Rattus norvegicus: one gene and its partners. The protein of the gene in region 3 interacts with the protein of the main gene of each other region in a pairwise test. Links are inferred from orthologs where the notes say so. Each region holds a gene or a part of one and is shown on either strand. Other genes may lie near its edges.

The links.
Region 1: the proteins of Txlna (region 3) and Ccdc146 interact in binary tests that used the Homo sapiens proteins (3 or more experiments, as listed by UniProt). The link is inferred for Rattus norvegicus from reciprocal best matches to the Homo sapiens genes TXLNA and CCDC146.
Region 2: the proteins of Txlna (region 3) and Deup1 interact in binary tests that used the Homo sapiens proteins (3 or more experiments, as listed by UniProt). The two-hybrid records come from large-scale screens. The link is inferred for Rattus norvegicus from reciprocal best matches to the Homo sapiens genes TXLNA and DEUP1.

Annotation. Positions count from the first base shown.
Region 1 is NC_086022.1:14,552,717-14,558,906, forward strand, and holds the start of Ccdc146 (coiled-coil domain-containing protein 146), read left to right. Parts: upstream 1-2,693; 5' UTR 2,694-2,792; intron 2,793-5,222; exon of another isoform or gene 5,223-5,309; intron 5,310-6,190. Other genes in the region: protein FAM185A, read right to left, coding at 1,792-2,200. UniProt on the Homo sapiens protein: Essential for sperm flagellum biogenesis and male fertility.
Region 2 is NC_086026.1:20,720,089-20,726,104, reverse strand, and holds the start of Deup1 (deuterosome assembly protein 1), read left to right. Parts: upstream 1-2,519; 5' UTR 2,520-2,604; intron 2,605-3,807; 5' UTR 3,808-3,852; coding exon 3,853-3,881; intron 3,882-6,016. UniProt on the Homo sapiens protein: Key structural component of the deuterosome, a structure that promotes de novo centriole amplification in multiciliated cells.
Region 3 is NC_086023.1:147,265,689-147,271,744, reverse strand, and holds the start of Txlna (alpha-taxilin), read left to right. Parts: upstream 1-2,471; 5' UTR 2,472-2,584; intron 2,585-3,034; 5' UTR 3,035-3,040; coding exon 3,041-3,206; intron 3,207-3,903; coding exon 3,904-4,242; intron 4,243-6,056. UniProt on the Homo sapiens protein: May be involved in intracellular vesicle traffic and potentially in calcium-dependent exocytosis in neuroendocrine cells.

The DNA of each region.
Region 1 (6,190 bases), on a different chromosome or scaffold from region 3:
CAAAACCATTTGGTGAAGGAAAGGTTCATCTCCCAACTTACAGTCCATCACACAGGAAAGTCAGGCACAAACTGAAGAAGGATCAGAGGAACACCGTCTTGCTCGCCATGAGTCTCTCAGCTTGACTTTTTCTTTTTAATGCAACCCAGGACCAACCTGTGTGACTGGGCCTTCCCTAATCAATCATTAATCAATGCTTCTCGATTAATGCAGATTTGCCTACAGGTCAATCTGATGAAGGCATTTTCTCATTGAGGTTCCCTCTCCCAGGTGACTCTAGCTTGTGTCAAGCTGACAAACTAACCAGCACAATTATGTTCCCCCAAAGCAAGTGATTGGGACCCAATGCTACAATCTTAATTGTTACAGTATGAATTTCCTCAACTGCACCACAATGGGTTAAATGAGCAACAATACACTCGAGAGGAAAAGAGAGTACAAAAGCCAAACACTGATACAAACAGAACTGCCCAACTGAGTCCTGTCACTAGCAAGAAACAAGGCAGACCTGACAACTATACGGACAAGGAAGGGATCTGAAGCACTTGCTCTTTGGGAAGTAGGAGAGGCAATTAAGGCTCGAAGCAGCAGCAGTAATGGGACACCCACTGGGTCACTCTATCACAAGCTGGAGGAACAAACACCAATACGATCAGCTATGGAGATCTGAGGGGCCGATGGAATCGAGGCACTACACTGGGAACAGGCCTCTCGCCCTGAAAAGCAGCAATGAGGTGATTTGGGAGAGCCAGCAGGGGTAATATCCATCTCCCAGGAGCTGTTTTAAGTTTTGCTTCCCTTTCCTTTGATACCCAGCTTACTCTGCACCGTGGTAAAAACCCAACAGCACCTTCAGATTACTATATTTTGGAGGTATGGTCTCTTATCCATTTAGGCTAGTTGGGAGTTGAGACGAAATAAAGCACAATTAACGGCTGAGCCATTCCAGTCAGCTCCAATCCTAGCCCTGCCTATTGTATTTAAGGTGGAAAGGCATCTAAGAAAGCAAATTTCATAACGCCACCATGCACGGGGCCTTTTGTTTGTTCAGTTACACTGTGTGTCTTCTGATACTTCCTTCATTTCTTCGTCCTCATCTGAAGTGGGGACAAACGCATCCACCCTACTACGTGACAGTGAGGGTTAATAAAAAGAACCTTATAAGAAAGAGGTAAATGGTGCTATTGGTATCAACAGCAACACCACCCTTCAGTTCCAAGAAGAATGAGAGCCTCGAGAAACCTTTCTAGAAAAATATGTGTGCTCAGCGGTTTGCATCTGGGAAATAATGGGACGCAGACACCTAAGAAACGTTTTGCAGGTACCATAATTAATTTTCCCAGGCAGCCTTAAATATGTGTCTTGCTTCAAAGTTTGTTATTCCCAGAGAATTTACTCATGCCTACATGAATACACATACTTTCCTGGGAGCCTGTTGGAAAGCAAGTATTTTTTCCTACGTTAGCTGGACGCCTCTATACATAGAGTTGACTAGGGACCAGAGCCCCAAGATGTGGACTACCAAACCACTGGATAGTTATCAGGAAACCTCAACACTGAACGATGCTAATGGCTGTGACAAAAAAGAACATGGGGCTCCACAATGTAATTAGATTCAGATTGTTCCAATACAAGCTTCCATTCAGTTTTAATTTTCCTCCGGAATCGGGAATCTAACGCTTAAACACTACTCAGGAACCCAGGAGTGTGGCTTTAGAAAAGAGATCCCCGGAAAGGGCCAACTAGGTGAGACGGTATTTTGCGACCCAAACCCGTTTTCACATCACTTGCCAAATTTGACGGGTGCGTTCACCTCCACCGACGCCTCGGGATCAATGTCGTCTGACAGAATGGCCATCTCCTGCAGAGCAGCGTCATACTTGACCTGCAGGCTGTCTAGGCCACGCGTCCCGCTCCCCACGCCGCTCACCGCCACTAGCACGCGGTCGCCGTCCGGGTGCGCGAGGGGATCCAGGGGCCTCACGGACAGGTGGCATGGGAGCCGCGCCCTCAGCCGCCCAAACGGGCTCACCCTCAGCGTCCACTCCCTCAGATCCCCGCGTGCCAGGCCGGCCCCAGGGTTCGCGGGCACCGAGCCCCGCCGCTCGGCCCCACCGGAGCCGCATGTCCGGGTCCCCAGAGCTCCGAACAAGGCGCCCGCCCGCACCCGGGACGCGCAAGGAGGGAGGCGGCCGAACATGCTCTCCCTCGGAACCCTTCAGCCTCGGCTCGCGGGTCCTGAGACAGCCCGAAACACGAGCTGCCTCGGGCCAGTCAGAAAGGCGACCGTAAGCACGGTTCCGCTGAGGAAGAACGAGCCAAGTCCCAGCACAGCACTTAACGACTTAAATCTCAGCCTCAAAACGATGCCGGTAGGAAAATTAAAACGTCAAAGCGTCCTGTTGAAGCCCTGACCCTGACTAGCCACCTATTTCCGCCCCTTTGGCGGAGGCCGTCGGGAGATGTAGTTTTAAAGGAGCCAAACATTGAGGGGTTCTGGTAGCTTTGAAACTACATATCCCATGAGACAATGCGACGAATAGGCAGAGTGACAAGAGCCGATTGGTAGAGAAGTCCCTGTTGCGTTCCTGTTGCTTCAAGCCCATTGGCCAAGAGATCAGAGAAAGAAAAAAAAAAAACCTTAATCTAACTGACCAATGGAAAGGTAATATTTCAGCTGTGTGGTTACTTTGGATACGGAGAACGCGACTCTGGAGAGGGTGGAGTTTTGAAGTGAGACCCCAGAGACCAAAACACACGGAGAAAAATAAGAATCAGGACAAAAAGAAAGGGTAAGAAGCACCATGTTTATAGATGGGAATTAGATTCAAAGTTAGGAATACCCTCTTTAGATGGCTAGAACCAAACATCACCAAACTAATGTGGGTCCCTTGGAATAGAGAATCCCCCTAGCAAGAGAGGATAGACACATTCTGTTGTTTCCTCCCTTCTCAGCCCTTTAAGGAAACTACCTCTTAGAAAATACTAGATTGGAAAAGTGTTAGAATCCTGGCTCTTTCTTAATTGTAAGTGACCTTAGGTCAGTCATTGGTTGCCTTAGGGTCTTAACTGTTTGCATGTAAAATGACGTTTTTCTTGCATCGTGTTAAAGGTTTCTTTTTTCTTTTTTCCCACAAGTATCAAATGAAACAATGGACAACAAAGATGTACGGTCTACAAAACGATTAAAGTATTTTAGGAATGACATATTTCTAAGTTGCTAAGAGATTTGGAGACAATTGAACTTGTTTAGAGAGCAATCTAGAGCTCTTTCCCTGCAACTGATCCTTGGCCTTAGTGATAAAATAAAATCTCTCTCTCTCTCTCTCTCTCTCTCTCTCTCTCTCTCTCTCTCTCTCTCTCCCTCTCTTCCTCCTCTCTAAGATAATAAGACATGTTAGGAGATGTCAGATTATTTTCATGGCCTTAGTTTTGATATATAGACTGTGCTAAATAACTCTAGAAGTTAACTCTTTTCTGTTTATTATTCAGTAGGCAGTAAAGATAATGGAAAATGTGGGCTGTGGACATGATTTCATCCATACTTGCCTACTCTTCTCCCCCTTTCTCCACAGTCTTCAAATAATTCCCTAATTCCCTCACATACAGATTTAACTAATTCTAAGTCTAATGTGGTGGTGTTCACTTGTAGTTTTTCGGAATTTGGGAAGTCTAAGCAGGAGGATCTCAGATCTGAGGTCCACCTGGACTATATACTGAGAGCTCTGTCTCAAATAGAGTACAAAATAAATAAATAAAATGATACCTTTAAAGATTGGAACTCTCAGCCAAACATGTGACCCTCTCAATTCTTGGAACCTAGAATGATAGAGCGATAGGTATAAAGTCCTTGCCAGTGTCCGTGTTATTCTCTTAGTGACGACTATGGTAGTGGTGATGGCACTGTGGCAGCCCAGCCCTTCTGTCAGCCGTCTGAGAAACCCCCTGTCCTTAAGGACTTCCACTGAGGAAAAACCTACTCTTGACTCTGCAGGAAAAAAAATGTTGGGAGAAGCTAGTGTGAAAGAGGGTTGATTCAAAAGAGATTCTAAACACAGGTTTAAGCAGCACCGGGGTTGGTAGGGGTGACTGCTCACTCAGGGAGAGAAAGAGTCATATTCAAGAGCACAGGTGTAAACCTCTCAGGCTCTCTTGAGCTTGCCCTTAAGCGCCTTGGCAGAAGTCTTACAGATTCATTCTTTTAATGACTCTCAAGTTATGCCTCAAAGGATTTCTAGGAAACTTCTTTAAAACCTTTTCCCTCCCCCTTTTCAATAAGTGTGATTATAGGATAGCTCTAGAGATGTCTTGGATTGGATGGCAATGCTAAAATAAAACCATGTGTCACAAGAATTATAAAAGGGATTAAGACATGTCCTTTACTGGAAATAGGGTTTTTGGTAAGATTTCTAGAAAATTCCTGGTGTATAGCTGGGAAAGAAGAAAGGCCACATATGTTTAGGTCTTACATGTGATTCCTTGCTCCTTCAACAACCTAAGTTGGAAATATCACTATAAAAGAGATAGTGACTTTCTATTGGTGACCATCATAGATAATATTGTTTCTGCTGGTGACAAGCACTGCCAGGCTCTAGAATGAAGGCTTCTTTCCTTCCCAGGTCTCCATCGTTTCCTGTGTTTGCCTCCTGCCTCAGGAGGCTATAACACAGATCTCATGATAAGCAGGAGCCCACTCAGTGAGTCACACCATTGGCTTGGGTTCCATGTGGACGTATATACTCAGATTAGTCTTCAAATTAGCTTTTTATGAAAACACAGAGACATACTTTTTGACGTTTGAAAAAGGCACGAGCAAGTTGAAACTGCACTCTGATTTGCTGTGGAAGTGCTGTATATATTTGGACTAAATATGCACCCTTAATAAATTACCCTGTTTCTATAGTAATTTTTCCTTTTCTGAGAAAGATTAAATGAATAGAATTGGCCACTGAGCCATAATGATATCTGTGACATAGTCATTATTCCATCACTTCCGAATAAAGAAACTAAAACTTGTTGAAGAATTACCTTCCTGGTTTTACGAGGTTGGAACCTGGAAATCTGATGGAGAGTAAGAATGGTGTAAGACATTAACGTTACTAACGCCCGACAACCTGACAAGTATCAGATTCGTCTACATTTAAGTGTCTGATAGAGTTTTCACAGCCTGTTCCCACGCATTGTCTCACTGTTAAGGACTTATTCTTCTCCCTGCACGACAGCTGAAGAAACAGATTGAGAAACATAAGATGAAGCTGTTATGGCCCCTAAAACCGGTTTTTGAGGGATGAAGGCGTCAAATTACAAACGTACGAGTTTTTTGTTTGTTTGTTTGTTTGTTTGTTTAATAGGACTGCTTATTATTAGCTATTTCTCTGCTGGGTGAGGCCAATTTAAGCCAGATTAGAGTATATTAAATGCAGGTTTATTGGAAAGCTGCTCTTGGGCGGGCAAGTTCATTGGCCCCAAGAAAGGAGGCCAGGGAAGTCCATGGGAAGGGAGAGAGAGAAGAAGGGGGAGAGAGAAAGAAAGAGCACAGAAGAGAGAGAGAAGGACAGCAAGGAAACCTAAATGCCAGGATTATATAGGGAGGAGCCCTTAGGGGAAGGATAGCACAGCCCCTGGGCTGGCAAGTTCAGGGTTGGAGGCAGGGTACGCCAGGTGGGGACTGAGGGATTCTGGGAGAACCTGGAGGCCAGGTCTGCTTTGATATGTAAAATATCAAATGTAAAATATAAGGCCTCAGTCCCTTGTCCTGAGGTCTGAAACCACACACTTAGAGTTTGAGAGCTTATTACTCCCCAATAAGAGAGTAATACTTAAATAAATTTTATATTTGTAATATCATATAGCAATTAAAAAATAATATCCTGAAATAATCCATAATATAATATTGGGTAAAATAGCACATACTAACCTTTATGCATAGTCCGATCTCAATTCTGTAGCAACAATAATAAATTTAGTATAGAATCATATCACAGAAACAATTCTGGAAGGACGTACACCACTTTATAAATGACGGTTATCTCCGAGCAGTGAGGTGGGACGATTACATCTTTTGCGTGTTATCAGCAGTGATCACGTTTGGCATCTTTACTAGGGAGAAACAGTAAGGACTTCTTCCTGTGTATTGACTCCCAAGGCTGTCTCAGAAATTCAGGGAACTTCTTAGCATACAAATATAAGT
Region 2 (6,016 bases), on a different chromosome or scaffold from region 3:
TGTATGTGTTGTGTGTGTATGTGTTGTGTGTGTGTTGTGCGGTGTGAGTGTGCAAGTGTGTGTGTATGTGTTGTGTGTGTATGTGTTGTGTGTGTATGTGGTGTGTGTGTGTGTTGTGCGGTGTGTGTGCAAGTGTGTGTGTATGTGTTGTGTGTATGTGTTGTGAGTGTGTTGTGTGTGTTGTGTGTGTGTATGTGTTGTGTGTGTTGTGTGCTGTGTGCATGTGTGTGTGTGTGGTGTGGTGTGTGTGTGTGTGTGTGTGTGTGTGTGTGTGTGTGTGTGTGTCTTTCATTTAGAAATTCAGGGCATGGGGCCGGTAGCAAGAAACTTGCGCTCCTGCTGCTGCAGGGAGATTAGAGCAGAATAATCTACTACCGCTGCAGGCAGCTCTAGTCTGCACATAAACAACTTCCTAAAGTCCATTACAGTAGCTATCCTCTCAGGCTTTAGAAACCCCTCCCACATCCATTCATCTGAAAATAGGAAATCAGCCATCACCTGTACAAGACCTAGATGCCTACAGATATGGTTTCCTGAATATTTGAAACCTAACCCTATTTTCTGGGGAGATTTTGAGACGCCCTGAAGCTGAAGTCACATGTCAGTTGTTCTTGAACTAGATGTATCCTCCAATGAATCCTTTATTTTAAGTCTGAGTTTGCTGATGTCCTCCAAAGCTCTGAGCATCTCCTACTGCCCGTGTCTCACTGGTGCCCCTGAGGCTTTAGTAACAGGGAGGAGCTGTAAGCGGGTACAGTCTTGGACATCTTGGACCATCATGAAGTTTTCTTTCTGCTTCACTTTCTGTTCTTCCTGCTCACTTTCATCTGGTGGCTCAGCTGGTAAACGCATGTGCTACCAAGCCTGAGTATATGAGCATGACGCCTAAGAACCAAAACGTAGGAGAGAGCAGAGTTCTACACTTTGTCCTCTGACACCTACAGTGAACCATTCATGTGCACTTCCCCTGATACCAACAGTCAAAGTAAGTAAATAGCAGGCATGATGGCGCACACCTTTAATCACATGCGATACTTAAGAGGCAAAGGTAGGCAGATCTCTGAGTTCGAGCCCAGCCTGGTCTACAGAGTGAGTTCCATGATAACCAAGGCTACACCAAGAAACAGTCTCAAAAAATAAATAAATAAAAAAATAAAAACAAAAAACAAAAACACCCAAAAGTAATAGAGCAACAGTGATGGTTACATTTCTTGACAGGAAAAATACATGGTGTATTTCAGCTTAGGCAAGAATAAAGGGTGTGACTAACTTTCCCAGAATAATGAAGTTTCAGGATAAGATGAGATGACCATGCTTCACCCAGTCACTGTCAGAACTGCACTAAGCAGAACTAGCTTCCTGAATTACTCCACATGACTCATCTGAGCACCGGGCAAACCTGGATGGAGGACTGTGGGCTGGATTAAAATTGACGGCCATGTTAAAGTAGCAAAGTGACATGAGTCAAAAGAATGCAAATGACAGGCTTTAAGAACTAGCAATCAATCAGCTGAACATGCTGAGAAACAGTTATGTTCCTAAAGTAGGCCCAGCAGCATCCCCCAATTCACATGCTTGCTGTCACACCTGTGTGTGTGTATAATATATAATATATAATGTGTAATGTGTAATATGTACTATGCAGTATGTAGTATGTAATATGTAATATAATACATATAATATATAATAAATTAATATGTAATTATATAATGTATATAATAACATACATGTATCAGTGCATGTGTGATTTCTTTATTGTCTGTATTTTGTGCCAAGTATATATACACGTATGTATATTATATATAACTTGTAAATAGTACATGTATCAATGTATTGTGATTTCTATACTGTATGTGTGTATTCTGTTACATATGTGTGTATATGTGTATATATACATACATATACATATATATGCATTATGGTATATAACGTCATTTTCTAAGTGAAATCAACAGGGTCAGACTGAGATTCTGTCATCAATTATGGTTGGAATGTGGCTGAAAAGGAAAGAATTTGGAATCAGTTACCGAGGATCCGGGTTGGTTCCCACCACTAGAAGCTACTCCCTTGTTCCCAATACAGCCTAATCCACCTAACTGGCAGTTTTCCAAGGACTCAGAGAACTGTGAGGAAGAGAGAGGTTTAAATGGTGCGAATACAGTGACAGAGGAGTGAGCCTAACCAATTCCCAGCTGGAAGTTAACTAAGGTGAATTCAAAGGGCCTTTGCCTGGAGTTCTTTCCCTCCCAACCCTGGTTTCCTCTGGGAAGAGGGCTGAGGCCCAGAGTTAGGTATCCCAGTCTCTGTGGCGCTCCTGGTGGCCCACCAGCTCTCTGATTGGGCAGTGTCCTCCCGCGCTTCTCTCGCGCCCCTGGGTGCGGCGGGCCGCAGCTAGCCAGGATGGGCGGATCTTGGAGGCACTGGACTGGGCACTGACCGCGCCAGTACTAGGGAGTTCCGGCTGGAGGGAAGCAGACCGGTGCGGAGGCCGCGTCTCCATGGCAACCCATTGGGGACCAGAGGCCAACGGTGCCGGCCGGGCGGGGTGCTGCGGGCGGGACCCACAGCCCAGGCCAGGGCAGACCTCTCCAGACAGCAGTACAGGTAACAGGCGGCTGACTCCCTGAACCCAGGACCTGTCCCTCCCCTAGGCAGCAGCTGGCTTCCACTGCCTCCAGCAGACCCTGGGAGTGTGCCTCAGTTTCCCTCTTTTGTCTGAACTTTTTGATCTAGTTTTGTCTCCTGTCACCTCCAGTGTCTGCCCCACTGCTGCAATTTCCTGTGGTGCTAAACGGTCTGAATGGAGATTCCTCCTATCCCCTTTCCCCTTCCTTCCTTTCCTTCCCCTTCTTCATATTCATCCTGTTCACCTCCCCCTCTCCCACTCTCTTCTTCTCTCTCCCTTTACCCTCTCCTCTCTTTCCTCCTCCTCTTCATCCTCTTCAACACCTTCTCTTTTTCCTTCCCTACCCCTCTCCTTCTCTTTCTCAGGTACTTAATTAGTTCATATACTTCTTAGTAAGGTTAGGTCCAATTTACCACTTTGTTCATTTATCCTTATAAGTTTATCCACTAATGGGACAACAGTGTGTCTGTGTTGTAGGGGTGGTGTGAGGGGGTATGGGGAGGTGTAGGGGGTGATATGGGGAGGGTTGGGAGGGATGTAGGTGCCAGGGAGGGAGAGGGCATCTGATTGCCCTGGAGCTAGAGTTATAGGTGGTTTTGAGCTCCCCGACCAGTGCTGGGGTCCTCTCTCTGCACTCTAAGCTCAATGACTGCTGGACCAGTTGTCCAGCTCCTGTTCTTGGACTTTTGTACTAAATCTCCTGCTTTATCTACTCCTTTAAAAGGTCAAGAAAAGCCAACAAAAGAATATACTCCAAGGCAGAGGATAGGGAGTCGCTAAGATGTAAACTCCAAGGGCTTCTAGACAACACTTCTCAGAGCAAGAATTAGGAACTGAGCACTCTGAAAAGGCCACTGACACCTAGCTGCCTTTGAGTTAAGGAGGAATGCTTTCTGGTTTCAGCCAGTACCAAATATTGCAAACAAATGCTGAGCCAGTATTCCTACTTGTGTGGAAACTTCAAGCCAAAGAAACCTCCCCACCCCCCACCCCCCACCCCCACACCCTACCCACACCCCCACCCACACCCACACCCCCACCGTGGGCCTTCTGTACTTGTCAAAGCTAGAGCTTCCATGCTCACAAAACCTATACTAAGTGGCTGCCAACAGCAAAAATATCATATCTTATATTAATATGTGTAAGCATTTTATAATTCTAAATAATTTCCCTCCTCACAGATTAAATATCAGTAAGTACCAAGTCAGATGTAAACATTTCTTGGCATGGAGAACCAAGCCCATACTACGGCAGGGTAAGTGCTGCAGAAATTCTATTTAATTAGCTCATCTTTATGCCCAGAAGTCCTGGAGGAAGCGTGAGTTCTGAAATGAATTGTTAAAAATAGGATGTGCTGATTGGGGGAGGGGGTAAATAGACAGAAAATCTCAAGTAAGTTATGAAGTCTCTATTCGTGTGAATCTTTCTGATGTTGAGTCTATACCCTGGAAGACAGCGCTTCCCGACTGATACGTCAGCATCACAGGTTGGGGACCCACGCTGGCCTCCTCAGCCCTTAACATGTCCACAGCACAGCACTTCCTGGCCTTTTCTTGCTGGGGTGAGTGGTTTCTCTGCTCCTACATAAGACTGGCCACATTTTCTCAACATATAAACACAGCCCCACGATGCATATATTTCCATAGCACAGCAAGAATTGGATATTTTAGAATGGGGTTTGGAGAACATTCACCATAGGAAATGGGCCAAATTCCGCTTCACAATTATTTGTCCTGCCTCTTCTCCTGCATCAGCACCATGAAGAGTTCACTATCCTTCTGCCTCTGCTGGACTCACACTGAGGCAGCAGAGGCACTCACATCAGAGCCCAGTCCTGAGTGTGGCTGCTTTTGACCCAATCACAACTCTAGCGTCTCACTTCCAGTGACTCTGCTTCCCCTGTGACTCTGACATCAGGTAAAGGAAAGGAGAGAAGCATGAGTAACTAAGACTACGTTTCGAGTCCGATCTCCTGGCCATAGCCCTTATTCTCAACAAGAAAACAGAATACATTATAGTAGAGCCAGAACCCCTGAAACACACACACGCGCACACACACACACACACACACACACACACGCACATGCACAGGCACACACACACACGCACGCACACATGCACGCACGCACATGCACACACACACGCACATGTACACACATGCACATGCACAGGCACACACACACACACGCACACACACACACATGCACAGGCACACACACACGCACGCACACGCACACACATGCACACCAAGTGCACAGCCTTAAGTAACATGCAAACCCATCTCTATGTCAGAGTGAGTGGTTGCTCCGGTTCTAGCTCCAGCATTGTGACTGTTTTCCATCCTGGTCTTAGTGAGGGGGAAACAAGGGCAGGAAAGACTTTCCTTCTAGAAGTCTGCCTAGAGATGTCGGGCTCCCCTGTGTTCATTAACATTGGCCAGAACTCAGTCACACGGAGTCGTGAAAAAAAAGGCTCGGAAATGTGCTCTCCAGCTGGGTAGCACATGCCTAGCTATAGATCAGGAATTCCATACATGGTTGACGCTGGACTCAGGACTGCTCAGCTTGCCCGATCACCTGACGCTTGGGTGAAGCTCTGAAGAGGATGGTGGAAACCATCTTCTAATCTCTAATCTATCTTCTGTGGATTCACTCTGACAACGCTGGTGGCCTCAAATGCACAGTCAGCAGTGAACTGTGAGGGTGGACGGTCTCCTTCACGGTCAGCAGTAAACTGTGAGGGTGGACCGTCTCCTTCACCACAGGACACTGAGGGCTGAGCTGTCGGTGCTCCGGCTCATTAGGTTAACTCAGTGCATTTCCAATCTTAGTTTTTTCAATATGAAATGGCCCTGCCCAGCCATAGCCAACGCCACTGAGAGGTGAAGGGTGGAGAGTAACCATTGCTGCATCTCGGCAACTCTCCCCCACTGAGCCTCAGACAGGTGGAGACGGGAACTAGAATTTACATCAGGGTAGAAAAGTGATTAGTGAAGGAGGCAGCGGTTGAATTGAAATACATCTGGCTCCAATGCCTGGATTTTTTTTCTACACTGGAAATTGATCACGTGGAGGTGAGAGGGGCAGCCTGATTAGAGTTCACAGCACAGCGAGGTCAGACTAAGCGTGTGTTCAGCCCCTAAAGTGACTGTGACACTGGGGTACAGTAAGACAGACTGGAAGACTCAAGCTTGTGCTTGTGTAGCATATCGTCTCAGCCCTGCAAAGGCTGTGGCTGGTTCTCTGCATTCCCCCTTTGAAAACAAAGTACCTTGTACTGAGTGTTAAGCCCTGAAGAGCCAAGGTTATTTAAAAACAGAACTGGTCCTTAAAGAACTTAGAACTTAGTGGAGAGAGCTGGTCTTGTTCGGGTACGAGAGAGTTACAGTTA
Region 3 (6,056 bases):
AGTCAGATCTCTGAGTTCAAGGTCTGCCTGGTCTACATAGTCCCTGGACAGTCAGAGCTGTATAGACCTTGCCATAAAGGGGGTGGAGGGAGGAACAAATTATGTGTACCTAGCAGTGGGAATGACAGTTAAATCAAGGTGCTCGAGGAGAGGGTGTGTCTTATTTCCCAGCTGGGGTTGAAGCAGAACTGCTTGAGACTAGGAGTTTAAAGGCCAGTTGGGCAACCTAACAGCCAACGTTCGTGTACTTGCATTTGGAGGCCAGAGGCAGTGAGCCTTTTAGAGGCAAAACTCAACTCTGTCCAGTGCTGGGGTTACAGTCTCACCCTGATGCAACCTGCCTTTTTTGTAACCTAGGTGTTGTTTACAGGGCTTGCCCAAGACCATCAGAAAACAGGTATTTTTATTATGATTCAAAACAGTAGCAAAAATTATAGTTATGAAGTAGCAATGGAAATAATTTTATGGTTGGAGGTCACGATATGAGAAACTATATTAAAGGATTGCAGCAATGAGAAGGTTTAGAACCACTATTTCAGAGTATCCTCTTTGTATGGAATTTTGTGAAGACCTGATGTAGATGCTACCTCTTTAGAGATTTCCAATATGTTTATTGGGAAGCAAGCAGGGCATTGGTTTCCAGATACCTTTAATCCAAACCTTTTTGAGATACAATTCCCTCTGTAAATGTAAATTTTTTAATGCTTTGAGCTTTGATCACTCTGGGTAAGTGCTCTGCCACTGAGTTTATTATACAATATTGCCTTTCGAATTTACATCTGAACAGACAACACTATTCTGAGTCCGTTTGACAGACCTATTACAGAAAAATGGACACCATTTAAGGACCCTAAAACAAAGTCCAATTAGCACAGTTTGCAACATGCTCTACCCCACAGCCTGAGTCAAGCCTCTGAGACTGCAGCATTTAGCCAACAGTAATTTCAACACTTCATGGCTAATGTTATAACAGAAGCCTAGCCAGACCTAAGAGAACTAGTATAAAATGTAGGCTCTTAAAGTGACCTTGAGCAGGGACTTAAAATGCTTTGTCTCTAGGTGTGGTGCTAATCCTAGCACTCAGGGAGCATAGCAGGCAGAACTTTGTGAGTTTCTAGGACAGCTTGATCTATATAGCGAGTTCCAAGTCAGGCAGCACTAGAAAGCAAGACCTTATCAAACATAGCAAACTCCAAACAAGTAAATAATTGAAATCACAATTGTGTTTGTTTTTGAATGATCTAAGCATCGAAAATCCTAATGAACAAAGACAAAATCTAACTTTCTAAAGCATTAGCCCATGTAGGAGCACGTGGTACTTTGCAGAAAGTGGGGCAGGGCTGAGTGGGAGTTTACCAATCCGCCTAAAGCCAAACCTCCTTGCTACAATCCCCTCCTGAGGATCCAAGCTGGTGATGTCAGAAGGCGGGGCATACTTGGTCTCAAAGCCTGTGATGGCGGAGAATGGTTAAGATGGGTTTTAGTTGGATCTGAGGTAGAAGCCAGCATAGTCAAAGACTAACAGCCAGGGCTACACGGAGAAACCCTGACTGGGCTGGGTGGAATGGAATGGGGCACTGGGGAGAAGATTAAGAAAAGGATGGGTGGTGTCAGGCTTCCAGGTTTGAATCCGCAATAAGCACACAGTATTGATGGATGGAGCCATAGATTATTTACCCTTTACCTGGGCATGGTGGCCCGTGCCATTAGTCCCAGTCTTGGAGAGACAAAGACAGGCAGAACTCTTGAATTCAAGGCCAATTTGATACACCTAGAGAATTCGGGGCCTGCCAAAGCCACACATGAGACATTGTCTCTAACAAACAATAGTACATACTTTTTTCTTTTAATTAGCCTTTTCCGTACTGCCCTATATTTCCCAGATCTCTGAGTATAATGTTCTTTCTCTGAGTAATTATGAGGACCAAGCTATTACATACGAGGGAAGAACACATTGTTTGGATTATTATAAACCTTCTACTGGAATGGAGAGGGGAGGGATACTAGGCACATAACAAATTAGTGGTTTGGGCGTGAGATAAATATCTCCTAATTCACAGTTTACCCTTCTTTCTCTCTTCCACTCGCAAGTCCTCAGAGATCCTAAAATAGTCATACATGTTCATAAGGGAGTGTATGAAAAAAAATCCAGACTGCCAAAGTTTAAGGGCCAATCATAGTTTCTGTACTAGGAAGGAGGCTGACACGAATCTCTAGACCGAATGACATAATTTCGGACCCTCAGGGTATTTGGCTCCTAAGCTTTTCGGTTGCATCTCGGGAGTTGTGACCTGCCGCAAGGCATGAAGGGACTCGTAGTTTTTCCCACTCCCGCCTCCAAAGCCGCCTTGGCCTCTTTTCCCAGCAAGCTCCGCGCCAGCGTTTGCTGTTGATTGGCTGCCGCAGGAGAGGGTGGTCCAGCTGGCAGCAGTTACCCAGGTTTCCGGTGCTCGGCCAGAGTCGGGGACGCGGTCGGACGTCCGCGGTGAAGTATGTCTTTGGGCTGTACACGGGACGAGCTCTTCAGAGGGTCCATGACCCAGGACGCGTTAGCCGCGGAGGAACAACTAATTCTGTGGACGGGGTGGGGAGAGTTGTGTGCTGCCGTGCTGCGCATGCGTACTTCGGGTCTAGAGGGCGCGTGGGGTGTGGGTGTCTTCTGTGTACGCGCGCGCGCGCGCGGGAATCCCACGTGGGACCTGGTGGGGCGGGGGGCCGGTCGGGACTGGAGCATCCCGCCACGTCAGTCTGCGGCTCTGAGCCAATCCCGCGCTCCCGCTGCCGAGAGGGAGCCGTGTGGTGCTGAGAAGTGGCATTCAGGAGAAGGGAGGCCTCTTCCTTCCTTCACTCTGTGCTGGTGCAGCTTCTCGGAAACCTTGCCCGGGACCGTGAAGTCTCAGGCGAAGGCCGACCAGTTTGTTTGAAGCTTAGAGCTTCAGATTTGGAGATTTCTCATCTAGGTTGTGAAGAATTTTGAAGTCTAGAAAATAGCAGCGGTGTCCGTAAAGGATCTACCCCTTTTCTGGCCTTGCAGATCACAATGAAGAACCAAGACAAAAAGAATGGGCCTGCCAAACACTCCAACCCGAAGAACAGCCCTGGGCAACGGGAAGCAGGACCGGAGGGAGCTCATGGACGGCCCAGACAGACAGCTCCTGGTGCGGAAGCTGAAGGTTCCACAAGCCAGGCTCCTGGGAAGACCGAGGGTGTGTGCCAGCTCTGCTTTTCCAGTGGGCAGAGGGAGGAGTTTCTGGTACTTGCATCTATCTGAGGCCAGTATTTACCCAGGAAGGAGGAACTATAGAATGAAACAATGCCCATTCTGTGATCCTCATGTTTCCTAGGGAGGTGATGAAGCTTTCCACTCTTAGCCCTGGAACGGAACCTTGGGGGCATGCTCTGACTGGTTTAAACCAAATGACAATCAAATGAGGCGCCCCATAAGCAAAGTCATATTCCCACTTGCCAGTGCCCGGTGATTAATTGTCCTTCATAAGACAGAGCGTCTGCTACACGTCAGTCGTCCCTCTTGTAGGGGTGCTTTACACAGTTGTCTTTGATGGTCATAACAAGTATGTTTGGGTGTTAGAAATAATTGTTTCGTCTTATAAAAACGTTTTATACGACTTAGGGTTTAAAAAAATTAAATTGAGGCCAGGCATAGTGGCCCTCACCTTTGTTCTCAGAACCCAGAAGTCAGAGGCAGGTAGATCTGAGTTTGAGGTCATCCTCATCCTCATAGTGAGTTCCCAGACAGCCAAGGCCCTGTAGAGAGAGCCTGTCTCAACTGAATAAATAAATGGAACGTTTAACCCACACAAGTGGTGTTTGTCTGGGCTTAAAGAAGAAGAAAACCCAAGGGAGCGGTGTAACCACCTAACGTTCACTGTCTTCATCTTGTAGGCGCTCGAGCTAAAGCATCTCAGTCTGGGGCCCTCTGTGATGTCTCTGAGGAGCTGAGCCGACAGTTGGAAGACATTCTGAGTACATACTGTGTGGACAACAATCAGGGAGGCCCAGGTGAGGAGGGAGCTCAGGGGGAGCCCACTGAGCCTGAAGACACAGAGAAGTCCCGAACCTATGCAGCCAGGAATGGGGAGCCTGAACCGGGCATTCCAGTCGTCAATGGCGAGAAAGAGACCTCTAAGGGGGAGCCTGGCACAGAAGAGATCCGAGCAAGTGACGAGGTTGGAGACCGAGACCTTCGAAGGCCACAGGAAAAGAAGAAAGCCAAGGGTCTAGGTGAGGGGGAGCTCCTGCTGACGGGAGGGAGTGAACACTTGCCATCTCATGGGCTAGCCTGCTCTGTCTGGACACAAGAGAATCTGCTTTTCAAGACAGTACATCCCCCCAGTTTAGTCAAAGATGGGGTCATCCCATTGAGCTGTTCAGATCACTCACTTGTGCAAGGCCTCCTGGCCTTGGGAGCCAAGTGGAGGCAGGAATCCAACTAGCTTTCTCACTGGGAATATGGAAAACCGGAGGGAGGCCTAAGTGCTCGACAACACCACTTTCAACCTGCTGTTTGACTTTGGGCATGTTTATTCTCCACTCCTAGAGAGGGTCTTAGTTTCCCTGTTTGTACAGCAATAGAATTGGGCTACACCAAGGTTGAAATATCAACATGGACCAGGTAAGCCACAGACCTCTTCAGAATCAAGAAAGGGCCTTCTTGATCTGAAAACCTGACTCCTACCTGGTTAGTCCCCCAGTCGCATCTGACCAGCTGAATAATTGGTAACCAAAATAATAGAAAGTAAGCAGAGGCCTCCATTGGTTGGATTTGCCATCTCCGTGTTACCTTTTGGGCCTCCCAGGGCTGACAGCTCAGAACCTGGTCTGTGCTGAGTACAGTGGAACCCAAGGGAGACAGCTGTAAGGCTTCCCGGCTGAGGTAAAGCAAGGCAGTGGCAACCTGGCACCATGGCGTACACCTTTAACCTCAGTACCTGAGAAGCAGGAGCAAGTGCATCTCCTGAGTACCAGACCAGCCAGCTGCATAATGAAACCTTATCACAAACAAAGGACAGGAGTGATGGGACAATGTGAAAATACGAACTTAGAACCTAATGCAAACCAAATATGGTAGTGTATGCCTCTAATGGGGAACTAGGAGGAACAGAAGCAGGAAGATGCTGAGTTCAAAGCCAGCTTGGGCTACATAGCAATACCCTCTCTTTGTGTGTGTGTGTGTGTGTGTGTGTGTGTGCGCGTGTGTGCGCGTGCGCGTGTGTGCGTGTGTGCGCGTGTGTGCGCGTGCGTGCGCGTGCGCTACTGTAACCATGTCATTGGCCCTCCGCCCTCATTTTGTTGTGTCTTAAAGACAGACTTCTTGCTTTTTTTCCCCCCTAAAGACACAGGGTCACATATGAAGGAGACAAGCTTTTTTTTTTTTTTTTTTTTTTTTTTTTTTTTGGTTCTTTTTTCGGAGCTGGGGACCGAACCCAGGGCCTTGCGCTTCCTAGGTAAGCGCTCTACCACTGAGCTAAATCCCCAACCCCCAAGCATTTTTTTTTAAAGCTTTATTTATTTATTCCATGTATGTGAGTACACTGTCACTGTCTTAGGACACACCAGAAGAGGGCATCAGATCTCTTTACAGATGGTTGTGAGCCACCATGTGGTTGCTGGGAATTGAACTCAGGACCTCTGGAAGAGCAGTCAGTGCTCTTAACCACTGAGTCATCTGTCCAGGCTGTAATACATCCTCTTTATAGTCTTATCAGACATCCAGATTGATGTCCCATCCTTGCAATTTTGATTCCTTATCTTTGCAATAAATATGTATGTGCACCTAACTTCTGGGATGTCAAGTCCTCTGGTATCTACTGAGGAGTATATAGCCAGATTATACAACAGTTACATTTTAGTCCAAAAAAATTGAATGCTTGAAATATAAGCAATGAAAAAATGCAGACTTTGCTGCAACAGGTGAGCCCAGGTTCCTTGCTAGGCAGTTTTGGCCTAATACATAGGACTCCTCACTCAGGCTCTGGTCCCATCTCCCCTCCATACCATAACAGGGCATCTCGTCCACCCTGAAGTCTCAGGCACCC